Linked DNA regions of Daphnia pulex. The protein of the gene in region 2 interacts with the protein of the main gene of each other region in a pairwise test. Links are inferred from orthologs where the notes say so. Each region holds a gene or a part of one and is shown on either strand. Other genes may lie near its edges. The genes, in order: EKC/KEOPS complex subunit Tprkb-like and EKC/KEOPS complex subunit TP53RK-like.

Evidence for each region.
Region 1: the proteins of EKC/KEOPS complex subunit TP53RK-like (region 2) and EKC/KEOPS complex subunit Tprkb-like interact in binary tests that used the Homo sapiens proteins (3 or more experiments, as listed by UniProt). The link is inferred for Daphnia pulex from reciprocal best matches to the Homo sapiens genes TP53RK and TPRKB.

Annotation. Positions count from the first base shown.
Region 1 is NC_060026.1:5,614,220-5,624,717, reverse strand, and holds EKC/KEOPS complex subunit Tprkb-like, read right to left. Parts: upstream 6,707-10,498; 5' UTR 6,570-6,706; coding exon 6,447-6,569; intron 6,388-6,446; coding exon 6,265-6,387; intron 6,190-6,264; coding exon 5,932-6,189; 3' UTR 5,877-5,931; coding exon of another isoform or gene 5,722-5,876; 3' UTR 5,685-5,721; downstream 1-5,684. Other genes in the region: ribosome production factor 1-like, read left to right, coding at 3,016-3,192, 3,255-3,488, 3,570-3,723, 3,780-3,862, 3,931-4,118, 4,180-4,354; peptidyl-prolyl cis-trans isomerase-like 1, read left to right, coding at 5,024-5,079, 5,197-5,330, 5,388-5,477, 5,581-5,649, 5,722-5,876; GPI transamidase component PIG-S-like, read left to right, coding at 6,951-6,987, 7,054-7,296, 7,369-7,590, 7,667-7,831, 7,901-8,077, 8,145-8,371, 8,458-8,580, 8,665-8,888 and 1 more; uncharacterized protein LOC124205085, read right to left, coding at 9,664-9,869, 9,933-10,012, 10,262-10,433. UniProt on the Homo sapiens protein: Component of the EKC/KEOPS complex that is required for the formation of a threonylcarbamoyl group on adenosine at position 37 (t(6)A37) in tRNAs that read codons beginning with adenine.
Region 2 is NC_060017.1:7,076,766-7,087,058, forward strand, and holds EKC/KEOPS complex subunit TP53RK-like, read left to right. Parts: upstream 1-6,268; 5' UTR 6,269-6,391; coding exon 6,392-6,590; intron 6,591-6,667; coding exon 6,668-7,134; 3' UTR 7,135-7,176; downstream 7,177-10,293. Other genes in the region: uncharacterized protein LOC124196883, read left to right, coding at 2,055-2,159, 2,225-2,371, 2,438-2,632, 2,691-2,909, 2,973-3,068, 3,136-3,254, 3,323-3,615, 3,675-5,272; dehydrogenase/reductase SDR family member 4-like, read right to left, coding at 7,263-7,377, 7,444-7,499, 7,573-7,707, 7,785-7,931, 7,999-8,076, 8,148-8,325, 8,396-8,520; U6 snRNA-associated Sm-like protein LSm1, read right to left, coding at 8,905-9,081, 9,145-9,329, 9,389-9,440; GPI ethanolamine phosphate transferase 3-like, read left to right, coding at 9,936-10,241.

The DNA.
Region 1 (10,498 bases), on a different chromosome or scaffold from region 2:
TTTCGTAACTTGAAAAAGATCGGCCTCGTTGGCTTATACAAAAGTCACCATACTGTTCACAAGTTTCTAAAGCGTTTCTTAAGCCTACACCTGATTCCAATGGAAAAAATCCCCAAAATGTTTAAGTACCTTGAAAGGGAGACACTTGCTTTGTGGACGACGGGCGAGGAATTAAAAAAGAAAAAAACCCAACTAGCTCTAGTCAAAAAATTTATAACATACATGCGAGAGAACTGGATTGAGAGTAGAGTGTGGTCACCGTCCAAATGGTGTGTGTTTAATCAGCCCATCCGCACAAACAATGACGCGGAAGGTTGGCATAATCGCATCAATTGCCACACAAAAGATAAAATGAATTTTTACGCTTTGGTCCCCGAACTACATAAGGAGTCAAAACTGATTCCTCTCTACAAAAAATTGATGTGCCGAAACAAAATAGTGAAACGAGCGCTGAAAATAAGCGATTCTGTAAACAAAAAATTGTTCGATTTGTGGGAGTCATATCCTGAAAAGCTTGACGGCAAACAACTGCTGAAAGCTGTGTCTGAAGTTTATTGCGAAACTAACTTTCTAAATGAAGCTTTTTGTTATGACGACGATAAAGATGATTTGAGTGAGTGAAATGTTCTGAATGTGTAAACATAAATGTAAAACTTGTAAACATAAATGTAAAACTAATAGTGTACCACCTGGTGGTGATTCGGCAAATTTTGCCGAATTGGTTGTCCGGTTCGGCAAAATAAATAAAAAATCCAATTCGGCCAAAACCAATTCGGCAAACGTCAAATTTTCCGAATCGTCTGTATACTTCAACTATTTATTACAATATCTGCTTTTGAACTTGTTTGTTTTGATATTTTTCTCGTGAGGACATCAAAAACAAAGGAAACTTGTACTATTCATCAGAAAGTGCCACATCGAGAAATCGCTTGAACAGCTACTAACATGATTTTTAGTAGCCAACAATGCGAAAGTTTTTCTCAGGGGAATCCGTGCACTTTGTCCTGTCGGTCTATACAAACCTAACATCACAGAAGGGGAATTTTTGGATCAAGCTAGAAAATGTTATGCAAAATTGCTAATCTCCTGCTACAACAGAAATTATCAAAAGACGTAATAATTTATCGGCGCGTCGATGAGAACAGGCATCGGAGCAGGGGTTCATTAAATGCACTTGAAGTTATCGTGCTGCCATAGGATGATGAATTCACCATAGAGATAAAAAGTGCATCCCTATCGCCTTAAAGAAAATGAATGACCTTAGCGTTGATGCGACTTGTTCAAATTAAAACGCTCTGCTGGTTTTTGGAAACACAAATGAAGAAGATGAGCAGTGATCGTAACTTGAAAGTGTGCCAGCTTTTTTCGTTCCCTGATGCTACAAAACTGATAGTGAAAACAGTAGAAGAAAGGGAAATCGTGCGGGTTGGTGTCTTTTTCAGACTCTTTCAGGTTCAAAGCGCGATTATTTATTCCTATTAAGCCGCGTTATTCAATTTCAATTTCTGTCGCAGAGTAATAAAAAACACAATTAGAGTGGCAAAGAGGAAATGACAAAAAAGTTAACGAGGACATTTCAGTAATTTGTACTTGGTACCGATTTAATGGGCAAACAGATAAATCGAAGAAAATCTCAACAAACGGAAAAAAAACTAGCTGTTATTGTTCACGATTTCCACCCTTGCAATACTTAGTTTTTCAGTCTACCCTCCTCCAATCATCCCGTCGTATAAAAATATTGTGATGCTTCTCAATTTTTTGTCTCGGATTATTTAGAATCGGAAGCTATTTTTCGGAAACAAATTTTGTAAATAGAATTTTACTGGAAATAGTGGAAATCGAGGAAAATAGACAAAATTGGAAAAATTTTGAAATTTTTGAACATTTTGAAAATTTTTGAAAATTTGGAAAGTTGCGAAAATTTGGGAAAATTGGGAAATATGAAGGGAAAATCGGGAAATTTTTTTTCCTTTCTGATGTTGCAGATTGTTCACGGTTAAAAATTATCTTGACTCCACTACACCCTATAAATCCAATCAATTAGGACGTTGAATCCTGTACACCCAGCAGCACACGTTATACCGACATGGTAAGCGGCAACTGGGCGGAAGATAAAACTTTAACGAGAAGTCCTTTCCGTAAACAACGGACAAATGAGGAGGAGCGATGTTCCTGGTGCATTTGTGTTCTCCCTCAGAACGTCAGAGCCTACGCCAATCGAGAGGGTTGGCGGTTGGCCACCCCAACAGACCCTAAAGGCAAAGAGGGGAAAATGTTGTTTTCGCGAGCGCTAGGTGGCTTATAGGATAAAGCCCAAAATGACCCAAAAACCAAGAAATTTGTAGGAATTTCAAAAATTTCAAACGTTAATATCTCGGCTTCTGAGCCGAGTATCGAAAAAACATGAAAATTTTGTGAAGAGGTGGGCTATCCCATCATTTTTAAATGATCAGAATATTTTTAGGTGCAGCAGTTGACGAGAAAACTGCAGCACAAAAACCGAAAAAAGTCCAATTTTCGGCTACCCCCCACAGTTTTTTGCTAATATCTCAAAAACGACTATAGCTAAGGGATTGTGGTTTTCACCAATCGACTTAGAAAAAAATTTTGAACTAAACCTATTAATTTGTTTATTTTTACAACCCCTAGCGATGATTTCCGCAAAATTAAATACCCCCAAAACGGTCTCTTTGAGTGGCGAATCGCTTGTTAAAAGTATTAAGTGTTAAAAAAATAATATGTAGCTACACACGAGTGTTAAATTAAAAATATTTTTGTAGTACTGTGCGAGTAATGTTTTCATCAAATGTAAAAATTTTATAGGTTCATGGTTTCCGAAAGGGCCCGCTGTGGGCCGTACTATTCGCGAGTTGTGTCGTCTGTTAAACAGTTTAATTTTTCCGAGGCTGTCTGGCACGTGTTCACGACCTGAAAGGCTGAAACTGTTGTATAGAGTTCCTCCTCACTTCCTATTAAGCAGCGTGATTTTGTTCAATATTTAAAAAAAAATCTGCCATGGAGAACGCCGAGGAAAATGAAGCTGGAGAGGTTCTAGCGAAGCCGAAAATCTTAACAGCGAGTGAACGCCTTGCAGCAAAAAAACGTTTTCGTACTCAGAGGAGACTGTCAACGATGAAAAACAAGGTGTTACGGAATGCTCAGTGGGCTACTTTGAAAAAAGAAAAACGAAAGGTGAAATCTTTTTACAGCATGTCAAGAATATTTTATTTAAACTACAATGAGTTCTTAAACAGATTAAAAAAGAAGGTCAAAAGCAGCGAAAAAAGGAAGCTGAAGCTTTAGGAGATAAGGCTCCTCCTAAACAGGTTCCACGTACAATTGAAAATACTAGGGAAGCTGATGTGACAACTGTTGATCAAGAAGATGAAGAAGTTACATTTGACATCACCCATGATGAATATGAAGCATATTTTTCAAAAACCTATGAGCCCAAGATTTTGATAACATCATCAGACAACCCTCACTCAGTAAGTAAATTTCATTTAAAAATTAACTTTAAGATTTATGTTAATAGATTGATGAACTGGTTCATTATTTGATGTTTTTAGAAAACTATTCATTTTATCCGTGAATTAACAAAGATTTTCCCAAAATCTGAATGTCAATGGAGAAAGCGTTCCAGTGTGAAAAAAATGATAGAGAGTGCTAAGGAAAAAGATTACACAGATGTTGTAGTGATAAATGAAGATAGACGAGTTCCAAGTAAGTTCTTTTCAATGTTAATAAAGTTTAGTTTATATTTAAATTATGCTAAATAGATGGAATGTTGGTATCACACTTACCTGATGGCCCAACTGCTTATTTCAAAATAAGCAATGTCAAATTAACAAAGGATATGAAGGTAATTTATATATTTATATAATATTTTTGCAATCTAATATTACTCATATTTATTATCTTTCCTAAAAGTACAAGAACATTATCAAGGAGTTTACCACTCATCGTCCCGAAGTCATTCTTAACAATTTCCAGACACGCCTTGGTCAAGCAGTGAGTCGAATGTTAGCTTCTTTGTTTCACTACGATCCCCAATTTAAAGGTCGTCGTGCGGTGACTTTCCACAACCAGCGAGACTACATATTTTTCAGGCACCACCGGTTGGGAAAGCTTAGACTCTTAATAATAACAAAATAATAATTACTACCTTTGTAATGATAGGTATGAATTCAAATCTCAGAAGAGAGCTGCCTTACGTGAATTGGGCCCTCGATTTACATTGCGACTGAAATGGTTGCAAAAAGGAACTTTCGACACAATTGAGGGTGACTATGAATGGATCATCGCTGGGAAACGGCACGAAATGGAGACGAGCAGGCGCAGATTCTTTCTTTAAAAGTCTGTTGTACGCTGTGTTAAAAGAAATAATACACATGCTGTATGTCATGTAATATGCCAGTTTCTAGTGGTTTTTCAAGTTAATTCCAATCATAAATGAAATGTACAATTCAGTTAGAAAGATTTTGGTCAGCAAACTTCTACAAGTATTGAATTTGTATATAATATTTATGAACAATTTTCTGAGTCCTAAAACCTCTAGTAATAGTCATTGATTGTTTTCGAAAGGATTTGAATTTTGGTAACTTCAATTTTTACCAACAAACTTATGGATGTTCTTCTGAATGCTGCTGCGGAGATCACGATTTTTTTTTTTTAGATCTATTTATTTATTCGTATTTATAATTGTTTTGGTATTTATTATTATTTTTTTTTTATTAAGTGAATTTTTAATTGCTGTGCTGACTGAAATTATCATTTTGTGCTGCGGCCTGCAGCATGGTGCCTGCAGCAGGCGTCGTGTTACCCGTAAATATATAACTGGAAATCATGACATGCTGCTTCAACGAACAAGACAATGCGTCGACTGCTTCCCGGCTTCTTTTTTGAGTTTTTGTGATTTTGTCCACACGTTTGACGTTCTGATCCAAAATTGTTTTTCTTAATATATTTCCTTTCAAAAAATTTAAACGGTTTGTTTACTACATAAATATTTGTCATCCCAAGTATGGCTTCCATCCCCGATGCTTCTTGGCAGCCACCTTTTGCAGTACTTCAAACCACGTAGGCTATACTTATTATTTTTTTATGAATACCACTGTGAAAGATAAGATGTTTGTATGTATATTTTAATATAAAATCTGCTTGTTTGGTTACCATCTCTAATATCTGACCTTGTAGGATGGGAGAAATTGCTATAGAATTGTACTGGAACCATGCCCCCAACACTTGTAGAAACTTTGCTGAACTCTGTCGTCGAAATTACTATGCAGGCACTAAATTTCATCGGATAATCCGAGATTTTATGATCCAAGGTAATTAATTGAAAACTTTTTTTTCATTGATTATGAATTAAGTTAAAAAATTTATAGGTGGTGATCCCACTGGTACTGGAAGAGGAGGAGCATCTATATATGGACGTAATTTTTCTGATGAATTACATGATGAACTGAAACACACAGGTAATAATTACAAATAAAATAAGTAATGGAAACAACATTCAGGGGCCTGAATGACACACATTCAAAGGAAATGACTTTTAACTTTGTGTGTGTTTAACAATAGGCCCTGGTATACTGTCCATGGCGAATTCAGGACCAAATACCAATGGATCTCAATTTTTCATAACACTAGGTATTTAAAAAAAAAAATTAATAAACTTTGAATTCCTACATCAAATGCAAATTTATTTTATATTTATTTTAGCTCCAACCCAATGGCTAGATGGCAAGCATTCCATTTTTGGGAGAATTTATTCAGGCATGTCTGTTGTGAAAAGGATTGGGTTTGTAGAAACAGATAAAGATGACAGACCAACTGATGATGTGAAAATCGTAAAATGTACAATCAAATATGAATGAATAATACATAATTGATCCTGCTTCTAAATCTAGTTTTACACAAAAAATATTAGTACTATGTAGCAATTTCTTTTGTCGAAATTCGGTTAATTATAGCATCCAATAAAGAAACAATTTTTGTTTCTTCTTCTTTGATTTTATAAATTTTCCTCAGCTCATTTTCATCACATGTTTCAAAATTGTCTTGGGTGGGTTCTGCCAATTCTCCTTTGACTTTAGAACAGACAAGTTCCATATCTTCTTCATTAAGTACCACACAAAGAAAATATGTATCTTTATCATTCATTCCAAATATTTTTAAGGAATCTGTAATCTGTTCCAAGCATTAAAAATAATTTCCATATTTAATAAAGTTTGCATGCTGTACAACTGCACATTAAAAAAATACCTTTTTTGTTGGGGACATGTTATAAACAATTTCAGAAAACACAGAATGTGTTTTAAGGGTATGACTTTGATGGCTCATCACAGCAAGTTGGGTGGCCACTAATACTTGAAAGGTGTCCAATACCTAGCAGTCATAAATTTATATTCTTCGTCAAACATAAAATTGAAAATTGAAATGCATACATATCTAGGATTAATTGCAGCGCAAGGAAAGCTAGCTTTCATAATCCTTTCTCGAATTTCACTTGCATTGGTTACATTTTTAAAAAGTAACAACTTGGGCTCGCATTCTTTAAATGCCCACATTTTATTATTGTTTGCTCAAATATGACTAAATAACGACTAAATATGGGAGTCACGAATCGGTAAATTTTTTTATTTCAAAACGTGTTCTGACTGCTGCTGGTTCCCACAGTTTATAGTCTGTCTGCTTCAACCGGCTGTATGTAACCTGGCTGTAACACTGCAAGACGTTGTCATGGCAATTATTTGCAGACTAAAATGCGACTTCAAATCTTCATTTCAGTAGACACTACATCGACTACAGTAAACACTAAACAACAAATTTAAGAACCTGTACGTTTGATGGTGGTCCTTTCTTATTTATTTATTGAAAAGTGATTTGAAAAATTCTTGATACAATTTTCTTTTTTGGTTTAGGTATAAATATTTCCACCTTTTTTAAAAATGAAGGGCTCCAATAACAGCTCTCTAGATAGGCAAGGTAAATGTCAAAATTAATTTACTCTTGATTTACTTATGATTCAAACTAATGAAAATAACTGTTTAGATAGGCATTCTCATCCAATTGGAGCTGCATTAACCTTCATTGTGATACTTTTGGGTCTTGGAGTACCAGTATGGTGGAATACCACTACTGTACAAAGAGCATCTTTACCACTGGAAGAACTGTCCACTATGGCTAAAGTGTCTGGGAGTGAACAAAGTATCCCTATTTTATTAAAAGGCATCAATGATGCTGAAATAATGGCAAAGAAACTGCAAAGTGCACTAGTTCAGTCCAAGGACCCATGTAAGTAACTAAAACAATATAATAAATGTTTAGATTTGAAGATTATGTTAACAATTTTCAAAATTTTTTTAGTAACTTATAACTTCAGTATTGTTCCATATAAATTCAGCCCTGAAGAAGTAAAAATTTTGTTGTCACAAAAGTCAGTTGATGCCATAGACATGTACTTTGAGGAACTATCTGAATCAGAGTTTATTAACATATTATCAATTGTTGAAGTACCATCTAATTATTTGCCATCTGGGAAAGTGTGTGTAGGAAGGCATAACTTTCTGTACTTCTCGGAAGAAACAGGTGTGGAATTAAAAGATTTCATTCACTTATAAATCAAAATTTTTAAATTGATAAATTTTTCCTTTTTTTTTGTTAGATTTTGATTCCCTTGGCCACATTATACGTTCAATTTTGGCACTTCACGATTCAGACCGAAATTCCGATGCGCACCTTCCCATTTCTAATCATTATAATGTTCTTCTTACTTTGGCGACCGCAAATGCAACCCAAGAATATTCTAGTATAGTATCTTTATATGATGGTAAGAATTTTTAAAAAATTTCACAGCTTTAGGCGTACATAAAATTGCATTTTCCCTTTTTTTTGTTAGAAAATTTTGCTGCATTTTCTAAAAAATTTCGGCACGTTGCTGACCTTTCAATTTCATCCCAAATGATTTATCTTGGAAACGGCCATATTGATGCCAATCATGATACTGAACAAAAAATTTTCTCTTTAAATGAAGAAAAAGTGGTATCTCTTATTAATATTCTCGAACCGCGACTAGGTATATGAACGAAGCCTTAAGATACTAAAAGAAAATAGAGTTTAAATGGAATTTCGTGGATAAATAGGAAGTCAGTTGTCGTCGGATCCCACTTTTCATTGGGTGCTTTATGTTCCCCACATAAATCAGTCACCAATGTATATTTTCAAAGGATCCTTGCCAGTTGTGACCAATTCAGTCCTTAGTCCACGGTGGAATGGAGGAGGTTTACAAATTGTCAATGAATTAGATCATTCCTTTGCTGGACTTGCTCTATGCCAGTTAAGAAATGCTCTCGGAATTTTCTCTCTACAGGTGAATATAAATTTGAAATGATAATATTCCTATTTGATCCTGTTTTTGAGCTAATGTTTACTTGCAATTACTATTGCATAATAAAGAATGCAGATACTTCTTACATCTCCTTGAATTATGATGAATCTGGTGTTCACGCGTGGGAGCTGTATTTGTTGACACGGCGACGTACGGTACAATTTTTAAATCAAGCTACCATTACTCTAAAGGTAAACGTGAATTAAAAATTTAAAATACTATACATTCGATGAAGCATGTAACAATTATTTTATTTTTTTTTTCAATCGCTTTAGTCTCTATCACAACTATTAAAACAGATCGGAAACATCGTTGTTAGTGAAGAAATAAGAGATTTGATTGTTGCTTCCGTAAAGATGGGGGACGATTCCAGAATTGCTTTGAAAAATGACGATTTGCAACAAGCGTACCGAGATGCCAAAGTATCTAATTCATGTGCCGAAAAGGCTTTCTTCGATCCCTCTCTTTTGGCATTGTTATACTTTCCTGAAGACCAAAAGTAAGTGATTTAGGTGCACTTAAAACTTTCATTTATCTTCTTTTTGTCTTCTAACTTTAAAATGTATTTTTGTTGTTCAACTCGTTTTAACATCGTTTTATTGTTGTGTTCCAGGTATGCGATTTACATCCCACTTTTTCTTCCCATAGGCATTCCTGTTCTCTTATCGTTGAGATCAGTCTACAAACATTTTCTTAAGCGGTAAAATTTAATTGAATTAATATCATTTGCAATTGAGTTGTGCAGAAATAAATGCAAAGTTTTACTGTATAAATGAAAAAATGAGTAATGAACTTATGATTTCAACCCCTAATTTGAATTAATAATATGAATAGTTTGTAGAAAATTGACAGCATTAATATTCTGCGACAATCGAGAATGGATATTATCGGAGCATACGTAAAGCGCAAAAATGAATTTCTTGATTCCTATAGGCCTATACAAACCTTTGATAACTAAACCCTCTAAGTCAGTAAGACTGCACATCCATTTTTACGTTATTACTATTAAAATGATAAAATCTTTGAAATTTTGTTGAAATCGCTGCCGAAATTTCTTCTATATAGTTGCAATTTCATTGTGCTATTGTTATTGATTGTTATTATTTATTTTCTTTAATCATAGCGTTATTTATTTAAACTTTTACCATTCCAGAAGACGGTGTATTCCATAACAGGGGAAAATGTTACAAGCGTTAAATTTACGCAGAAACTTGAAGTGCTATTTTCGGGCTAACATAAAATATCTAAATGTTGTCTTGTTGTTAAAAGATTAATCAGCAATCAGGATATTGCTTTAACTGATAGCACTGTAACTCAGTTAAGTTATTCTCTTGAACTTCTAGGCCAGTCTGATTTCCGTCATCATCTACACAAAAACAAACCCCCCCTCGGCATTGGATTGGTCGATAGTTCCCGTTGCTGCAACAGATTGGTTTGGCTAATTTTTGATTGGTAAGCCAAAATCTTGTTCGCGCACATTCTATTGCAAAAAAATAACATTGTTTTTTGTGTAGTATATCTTGCATCTTTTAAATTAACATACTGCAATTCATAGAACTGTCATCCGGTTTGTTGATTTCGAAATTTTCAATTTTTTCCCCATAAGGATCTGCACAGTAAAGTCTGAAATTCAAAATTCGTTGTGATTAAGAAATTAAATTTGACTAATTTCACGTTCATTGCCAGTCTAAAGATTCGACGAACACATCTCGCAAAAGTTAACAAATTTTCTCATGCGTTTTGTTACGAAAATACTCGTGGTTTCATGAAAATAAAATTCAGAAAGTAATAAACCGAGTTACTGGTCTGGTGGCCACTCTTTTGTCTTTTCAAGTAAGCCGAAGAGAAAAGAAGAGGTTTGGCAATACATACGTGGATTCTGTCTCAAGAATCGATTGGTAGAATCCATCTGGCGAACAATCCGGTTGTTCCAGTCCAAGTACTGTGATATTCTGGCGGATGTAACTATTCCCAAAAAATTTAGTCTTTAACCTTTTCATTTCGCAAGGCCGGTAGTAATCAGCTGAATGCACGTCAGTGTTATCTGTTCAGAATAGAGATGAGCATAGGTAAATTCGCGAGTACAAATCGCAAAAAGTATTTCTTGAA
Region 2 (10,293 bases):
TCCTTCGTGAGTAAGCAGCTCAAGGCGAAACGAGGAAAACAAGGTTGAACAGGGTATAAAAACAAGTTGGGGAAGAAAATCTTTAAAACAATTTTCACTATTGCCTCTTTCTAGCTCTTTAATATGCAATGGTTTTCCCCAGACATTTACAATGCAGATAACCAAAGACCATGGTGATACTATGACGAAAATGGACAAAGAATTATTCGATTGACGAACAGCATGAATAAAGAATTCTATTATCGCATAAATATTAACTGCCGATAGAACGAGTCGAAATAGCGGGTCTGTCAATTGATAACCAAAGGACAGTTGAATTTGCAAAAGCTTTTTATGGATTTTGTTTAAACGAACAATTTAATGCTGGGCCATTATACTTGCCTATCGCCCATTTCGTTTAAACAAGAAAATTTGTCATATCAATTTATTTGTCATTATTTTAATTGAGATACGATATTATTTGAAAATAAAAGCTTAAATTCCTTGGTTGACGACTGGTTCAATATCGTGAAAACGACTTTCAGTACACCCAAAAGAATGTGTTAAAGAAGAATCAGAATGTTCACTATTGCCTGGGGAAGTAGAGATTGACATACAATTACTATACACGAACAGGGTAAGAGACGAGACGACGCTCAAGGTTTGGGAAAATCGTTAGTCCTTGAGAAACGACTGTTACGTCGATTAGTGTACAGTAGCATTACAGAGAAGACAGAACGACGAATGATCTAGCAGGCAAGTTGCAAATACAAATGACAAGATTGCTTTTATCTGATTCGTGATAAAACTATCCTTCAAATAATGGTGCCTGCTTTATCTAAATACATCAACTTTCGATTTTCCTCGGTTTCCCTAATAATTTAATTTTTCCATTCGCAAGCAGGCATTTTCCTCTTGGGCAGCCAAGAGAAAATCTTTTTGGGTTATGGACGTGACGCGTGCATGAACTACCTAATCGAAACAACTAATCAAAATTTCAGTCGACGACTATATACGAAAGCATTCATAATTTTCGTTCCAAAAGATATTGCGCATTTCGCTTTGGCAGATTTATAGTTCCCTATGGCAAAAACTGGACGACTTTAGGCGTCTGTTCTAACTTTAACATTATTTTGGCACTAGCCGTCTGCTGTAGCCTTCTTTTTGTAAATTCTACACGTATATAACGAATAATTCGATCCGATTGTGATATTTTAATCAATTAATTCGTTTAGAAAGTTTATCTTAGTTGCGCAACGTACCCTGGCATGAACCAAGCTAAAGATACATAAAACATTTCTTTACACTGATGGTACGACGCATGATTACATAATGTATACTAAATTAAGTAGATAATATCTACTTTTCGACAAAATAGTTACCAAGTGTAGTTACTAGTCTCTGATCCAGTGTTGCCCAGTTGGGTTACCCAAATTCCTTCCAACTCAATTTTGGCACCAGGTGGCAGCAGTGGTAGTAGACTTTCCGGTCGTCATTCTCATGACGATTTTCTGTGTCCTTGAAAACGCTGTTTGTTAGTGAAGGCCTGTCTTTTTGTTGCATAAAGAGAGGGAAGATTCTGTGTTGACTGCACCAAAAAGAAAAGTGAAAGAGGTTTTATCAGTAACATTTGATCGAGTCTTTTCTCATTTATCCAGTGTGTGAACTAAGTGAATTGAGAAATGTCGCGTTTTCTCAGAAACACAGGCGGGAAAAAGTGAGTTACCAAATCGATGGCGTCGTTGACTGGTTGAGTTTCTTAGCTATTTGAGTGTGTCGTGAAGAGTTCTGAGAGGCCACGCTATGTGATGTCTACTACTTCCCTGACATCTACTAATTTTGCCCCAAATTCAAATTTTCTGAAATTTTGGTGAATCGCCACAATTGCTTTGGTAATGAAATTTAGATTCATTTCCTTTCCTATCGATAAAATTTCGTAATTGACGTGGGATGTCGTTGAATATGGGGATTTTAGGGCGGATAACATTTTTTAAAGGGATTTGTGCAACCAGAAATTAAGATTGTGTTCTTCATTTCAGATTTAAGTGAAAGTGTACTGAACAACTGTTTGAAAAATGGAGAATAAAAAAGAAGACAACAGTAAACAAGATGTGATGGTCTCAAACCTCCCATTGCTGTTTTCTGATGGCAAACCTACATCCATAACATCCATGTCTGTGGTATGTATACTTTTTCCGGGTTTTTGTTTTCGGCCAATAATCATATTTTTTTTTTGCTTTTTCAGGAGGACCTGCAGTACTTCATACCATTTTTGATTAAATGCATACTGGGGTGTGAACCAACTGGCTGGACCAGATATACAAAATTCAAGTGGTGGCCACCTGATGTTCCTTGGTCACCTATAATTCTTACAAAGAAATATCAGACCGAAGTAAGAATTTTCACAAGAGTAAATAAACAATTTATAATTGCAAACCCTCCTTCTTTTGTTTCGCAGAATTGGAGATCCAAACTTACTACTCTAGTGAGAAATTGTTATAATTATAATGGATGTACATATTTGTTGCAATTTTCTGCAAAGTTGCAAACACTCACTGGAGGTTACAAGTTTGAAGACAATTGGGATGGAACAACTTCAATGTATGATAGCACAAATGGAAAGCTACTGGTTACTTTTCAGAATGAAAATATGGTGAGCTTTGTTAATGAATGGGACCGAGTGTTTGTGTTAACAACTTCGTTCTTTTTAGAATTATGACAAGGGTTTCAGACAGCAATCTAGTGCCTCTCGCCCTATGTTACTTCCCCGATTAAACTCTCCGACTAGTCCAACAAAGCTAAATGCTGGAGCCTCAAACACAATGGAAATAGAAGCTCCAACTGCAGCAAAAATGGTTGAACCACCAATTAATGACATCTATTTGTGTGATTATTGTGGTGCAGATTTCAGCTCACTTTCGGCCATTAAGGTACTCTATGCATTATGATTTGTCTCGGTAACTTATTCTTGAACATATTCTCAAATATTGAAGGCCCATGAAGCAAAATGTATGGCTGATAAAGCTTTGGAAGCCCAATCCAATAACATTAACACTTTCACTGAACTAGAAACACGGGACATGGATGAAGTAAACATTTTTATTTTACTATTAACTTTTGTTAGATATTTAAATTTTTTACCTTTCTGTCTCTTAGGCACAATTTCTGTGGTATTTGTCCTTGTCCAGTCGTAGTCAAACTTTACCACCGCCTAATGTTACTCCTGCTAAAATTCGTCCGGTTGTAAGAAGGACTTGTACACTCAGTGATAAGAGGTGAATCCTTAATATTTTATCTGATAACCTTTGATGAAGAAAATGCAACAATCATTATTTTATTACAGATTTACGACAATTCCCTTTTCGTCAAATCTTGGACAAAGCTTCTTCAAGGCAATTAGACTAACACCAACAGCTTCAGAACTCTTGATCAATCGATACGAGCGTTTTTGTATAGCAAAACCAATATTGCTCCGATCAGACCCTCTTACAGGAGAACACACGCAACCACCTATCCCATCAGCAACTACCTCTAATCGCTTTCGTCCAGTTGTGTTTAAAAGAAAAGACGAGTGGGCGCATTCTTACAGCTTCAATAAAGCAGACCGAAGAGAGCGCATGGAGACTATCGCGACGGGTAAACTACTTGAACTAATATTCCATGTGTTTGGTATTAACAATTAATTTTTATTGAAGGATTGAATAAACGCGCCCGTCAGTTACTTCAACGATGTCAAGGTATTCATGTGGTGATGGTTAGGTTAAAACCGGAAGAGATAGATATGTGGACTCGTCCGAAACCTAAACCAAAGCATCCGCCACATTTACTACAGCCGTGGCTACAGCGAAGCATTGCAAATTTACCTGCTAGTTGCACCATCAGCTTGGCTCCTGTTGATTCGCAAAAAACGTTTCTTCGAAACCAACAAGCTGCCTCACCATCATCAACAATTCGCCAAGTATCAAGAAACCATATTTCCGGGAAATCTCAAGCAAGAGCTCCACCAGGGCTTCTTCCTCTGATCACCGGCACTTGGTCTATGCAACCTGTGCAACCTGTCAAACCCAAGCCCACGAAAAACCAGTTCATATTGCCTGATCTGATTCCAGTTATTAACAGACATTCGAAGACGCGTTCCGTTGATCCAGTCATAATCCAAATGCCTTCCGTCTCCTCGCCAAGATCGGTTGCTGCCTCACCACGTACTCAAATGACTTCGAGCGGTAGTATTACAGATATAGTCGATCTTTGTTCTTCAGAAGACGAAGTCGACGATGGCGACCAGCGACAAGGCAGCAAAGATGTGCTGTCTAATTCTCTTGTCTTACCACCTGGTATCTCTATCACCAAAATTAAGAAAACGTCTAGTGGACCTCAGTGCCACCTTCCAAATTCACGGCCGAATGAAACGGCATCTGAAAAGAATAACAACCGATCACGAAGCGTTGCTCAGTGGCTGGCATCAGCAGCTACCGCGCCCCTACCAGTTTTGACCTTCATGGGCCACCACCAGCAAGCTATAAAAAAAGATCTTGCTAGGAGTGGTGCACTTGATGTTTGTTCAGCTGATTCGTCCCTACCCATTGTAACACCATTGAAACTAGCGAAGCTTCCTGCTGAGAAAAGGGAACAGATGAAGCAGTCTCTGTTGAAAATTCAAAAAAAGGAGAAAAAATCACCAACGTCAAACAGTGACTCTAGCAGTCCACCAACACAAATCAAGACGATTCAAACTACAAGCGATGTAACAGATCCACTTCAGCTCTCTCCATTGCCGAGAAGTTCCGTCAGCCCTAAAAAGGAATTTTCTCCACCCCTCAGTGACGAGTGCGAGGAACTGAAACACAAAGGATTAAGTGGCCTTCTTTTCTCAAACCAGCGGAATACTCGACGAAAAAGAGAAAAAGAACCCGATTTTCATAGTTCTGACGAAGAGGATTCACTATCTGATGGTCCTAGCAAAAAAGCTCGTTTATTGGATCAATCCTCGTCATCGAATTGTTTGGCACCTCAAGCGAAATTAATCCGTGGCAGCGAAAATTATTCTTCGGTTATCGAGGTTGATGTAGGAGGACCAGATAACGACATGTTTTCACGAGCAAGTTCGTTTGGATCACTAACTCCAGAGAGTAGACTTCCACGGAAAAGACAGGAATTATTTCGCTTGTTAAACGATGAATGCAAAGAATTAAGACGTAAAGGGCTGGAAGATTTATCTTTTGAAGCGAATTCCAATCATCGTGTCACTCGTTGTCGTACAAAATCCCAACCACTAATGTCCGGAAAACGGTAAAATCTCTTCCTTTTCTACTTTATTTTTGCCTTCCTCTACGACTTCGAGCAAATGCGTGCTCTTCTCCGGAAACGTTGTTTAGTATTCAACTTCTTTCGTAATTGTGCACCCAGAATCTATGCGTATATTTTACTCGCTTCTTGTCCTTCCTATCTTTTTCATTCGATGGCATTTCTAAATCGTTTCGAATGTCATTCATTCATATTATGTTCTCAACCTGGAAGATCACTGCTTTTGTTTTATGTACATAACGACGTTACATCGCCATCCGTTTAGCTGAAGGATTCGTACCTTATTGATTTGTTGTATAAAAGTATTCTAAATTTTCGATGCGATTTACGATGTTGATGTCTCGAAACCAACAAGCTTTGGTCGTTGTTGAGCAGAGGTACTATTGGTATCATTTTCTCCCCGTGTTTTGAACAAGTATTTTGAAAGTCGCGCAAACTCAGAAACCGAGACGTGTGATTGTAACGGTATTTTTAGTTTAAATCATAACCATTCTCTCCTTCTGGTTACTTGAAATAAATTCTTTCTTATTTCCAGTTAGGATATGATTGTTCTGTTCTGAAACCTTATAGATTTCACAATTCGGGTTTGCAAATTGGTTTTCGTTAAAAACACTGTAGCTCCCTAAATCCTTAATGTAATTTAATAACTCGTGTCTTTTGGGATCTTTGGTAAGTTAAAGATGTCATAATTCCACATTAATGTGTAAACAATGTATGAAGTTTCGAATTATCAGACGAATTCGATTATCTTGGCTGCTTCTGAAATCTGAATAAATTCTGTTAGTTAGACCAAACAAAATCGATGAAGATATTGAAAGATATTAATGATAAAATGAGCGGGTAGAGGGAGCAAAAAAAGGAATTGGTAAAATCCCTTGCTTTATCCTATTTTAACAAATTTGTGTGAAAAGAAGTGCGTATTATTTAATGGAAAAAATATTCATTGCCACCAGGTAGCGTGTCAACACCAGATGGCACTGACCGCAGTCGACAGACGGATTGCTTATCTATATGTATGTTCGACAAAAACATTAAAACGTAGTCTGCTACTGCTTGTAGGATCATGCATGGTTCGTGGTAACAGAGCAAGCAATTTGAATCTTGTGAAATGAATATGAAGGAGAGAAATTTCGCCTTGATTAAGCAGGGGTCCGAAGCCAAAATATATAGTGGCACTTTTCATGGAAAACCGTGCATTATCAAGGAAAGGTTTGTGAAGCGTTACAGACACCCACATCTTGACCGGGAAATTTCAACTCAAAGACTAAAAAGCGAAGTCCGCTCACTTGTTCGTTGTCGCCTAGCAGGTAATGTTTTAAAGAATTAACTATAGTTTTCTATTAAGTAATATCATAGTAATCATCACAACTAATTGTTTGATTAGGTGTCCATGCTCCAACTGTGTATTGTGTTAACGTGGAGCTAAATCATATAATGATGGAGCACATTACTGATGGTGTGACAGTTAAAGACTTCATTAAGGATCCTGTGAATCAAAATAGTCTTGAGACATTGGTTTCTACAATTGGAAGTACAATTGGTTTGTTGCATTCCCAGAACATCATCCATGGGGATTTAACTACTTCTAATATGCTGATTCGAGGTGGTGATATTTCTAAAATCACAGTAATTGATTTTGGTCTCAGCTTCATTGACCATTCTCCAGAAGATAAGGGAGTTGATCTGTATGTTCTTGAAAGAGCTATGCTAAGTACTCACCCTAACTCTGAAAATTTATTTGAAATAATTCTTAAGTATTATGCAAAGACAAATAAGAAAGATGGAAAAGAAACTCTAAAAAAACTTGATGAAATTCGTCTTCGTGGTAGAAAGCGTTCGATGGCTGGATAAACGACGAGATCTCGAAATAAAATGCCACAGGATCAGAATTAATGTTTTGTATTTGTTACTTATTATAATAAATCTCTGCATTAATTTGATAAATTTTGAGCCCAAATTGTGTCATCACATTCTATATTTTACAGCCTAGACTGAGCTCCACCAGCAGCAACAATATTTTCTCCAGTTATAAAGGAAGCATCATCTGAGCATAAAAACGAAGCCAATCCACCCATGTCGTCTGGTTGTCCAATCCTGAATTTTGTTAACTCTTGTAAATGAATTGAATATAGCTAAAAATGTACAGGCAAAATATCGTACCTTTGCAGGGGTATGCCTTCCAGGACTTTGTTGCGCACATCGTCATTGTCTACCAACTATCGGGAAAAAATGTAAATAGTTAGCTATAACACCGCTTTCGTAAGGAATTATTTAATGTGGTAATGATACCATTGCGCTGAATTTTGTTTGGATTACGCCAGGAGCAATGCAATTCACGCGAATGCCACTATGTCCTACTTCTTGGGCCAGCACCTTTGTTAATCCCAGTAGAGCTGTTTTACTTACAGAGTAAGCTCCTAGAGCCTTTGAAGGTAAGATATCACAAATAAATTTTGGTATTAGTAAAAATCCAATCAATGATAATAAGATATGCTGTTTACAGAAAATGGTTGAAACCCAGCAATTGAAGAAATAAATATTATAGAACCTCTCCCTCTCTTTTCCATATGTGGAACAGCAGATTTGGCAAGTAAAAATGCTGTTTTGACATTAATATCAAAAATTTTATCCCAGGCATCTTCAGGGCACTGTTTAAAAAGAGTAATTAAGTTTATACTTAGTTGCTAAGTTGTGTATAAACCTGATTTAACTTACACTCAATACTGGTCCAAATACAGGATTTACTGCAGCATTACTTATCAAAATATCCAATCCTCCAAACTTAGAAACAGTCTGTATAAATAGGAAAATAATTACATAAATGAATGAAATGTGATAACAACTTTTAACTTATTTCAAAGTACATCTTCTATCAGTTTTTCCCTATCTTCTTTCAATCCAACATGGCAAACCATGCCAGTAACAGTTAGTCCTTCTGTTTTAAGTTTTGCTACAGCAGCATCAACATTTTTCTGTTTTCTACTGCTTACAACAACTTGTGCTCCGTCTGAAGCTAGTCGCTTGGCGACAGCAAACCCAATTCTAAAAACAAAAATGGTAATTCAGATTAACGCTGATAAAAGGTTATAGATGTTATTGTTATTATACTCACCCATCCGTTGACGCAGTAACAATTGCAATTCTTCCATCTAATTTTTTGGCGGTCGAACTCATTTTCAATGTCGTCGTAGTAAAAAGAAAGCGTCTAGTTAGCAGGCCAGCACTTTTCAGTATCATAACGATAACAACAGATATAGCAATATATATATAGCAATATCTTCTCAATCAGCCAAAACAAGTGTATGGACTTTTATCCGAATGACAACACTGACAAGAGCTGTCAATTTCAAGTGGGAGGAGCTTACGAAATTTTACATTCAGTAGCCAATCATGAATGCTAGTACTTGGCTTATTTATCACACCTGAAAATTAAAATGTCGACAGGAACTAGTTTTATACTGATAGTTTTGTATATTGGCTAATTAATCTCATTAGAGTTTTCAAGAAAAAGAAGTTAATTTTACAATGAATTTTAAATTCAGTTAACCAAAACTATACAAAAGGAATCGTTTATGTTCTTTCCTGTCACGAATCAAAACAATTTCACAGCAAGCATCAAAACTAAAAAGCATCATCATGAGTGTAATCTGCAACAGTTGACTGAAGTCCTAGTTCTTTAAGTCTCTTCAATCTAATTTTCTCCTTTGCTTGCTTCTCATCTTGCTCCAACCTTTGGGCTTCAAGGATCTCCTCTACACCAACTTGCTTAAGGGGGATTCTTTCTTCTTTCTCCAAATCCTGAATTCAGAAAAGGGACTGTTATAATGTCTGCAATCACAATCTGTCAAAATTTAACATTACGATTTCTCCCAAAAGAGCAACATTTTCTCCTCTGACAATAAATACTCCTCGTGGAATGTCACCATACTCTTTACCAACATGAATCCTCTCAATAGTTCGATGCAAAACCAAGTTAGCAAATTGATCAACACTACGGAGGTATCCTATCAAAGTTCGGCCATCACGTAGAACGACTATAACCTTTTCTAAAAATAATCAAGCATTAGTTCATGACATCTACATGGTTCAATTCAGAAAAATTTACTGTCTAAATCTTCAAGAAGAGTCGCCGTCCCCGGTAATGAAGCGACATTCATTTTCGAAATTTCATCAGCCTATAAAACAAAACTCGTGCTTTTAGTGCAGTTGGGTCAAGAGTGCATGCGTACGCGTTTCTCAAATCGTCTGCAATCGTCTACGAATTTTAAATTGTAGATGTAGAAGCCTTGAAAATTGAGTCATGCAGCCAGTGACCCCTAGGCCAACGTTGAATTGATTGCGTTTCCATGATATTATTCGAATTCCTTTTTTTAAATATTAATCGACCTTTTAAAATCCCGGAAGTAAATTCTTTTCAATATTTTTTAAAAGAACCAAAGAAAGAACGTTTAATTTGCAAGAGCGTGAAGTAGGGATGTTGTTTAGCACTCATGTTTACACATTTCTGATAGTTTCGTCTGCAGGTAAATTTGAAACGATAGAGACGAAATCACGAAAGTTGCAAAGTTCACTGAAGAAAAATGATTTAGTCTACAATATATGTGCAATTTTTGCATGCTATATTTTAAAAAAGAAAAGTATTCAAATCTAAAATGAAAAAAAGAAATTTGCTTGTTTTTTCCTGGCTCATTTTGTTGTATGCAAATGGGGTGATGTACTTTCTTCAAGGGTTTTTGTTAACTCGCCGAGAAATTCATCTAAAGTCCGCAGCGTTTGACGGTGTTTCTTGTTGTTTGGAATCAAAATACGAGAAAATCATCATTCTTATCATTGATGCTCTTCGCTATGACTTTCTTGTTTACAACAATTCCACAAACAAGAGTAGTATACCAATCTACCAAAATAATCTTCCTGTTGTGGAAAAGTTATTGAAGGATAATCATGGTGTGCTGTATCAGGTATGTTTACAAAATAAGCATTAGGGGATAGATGAATGAGTTCTAATCTAAT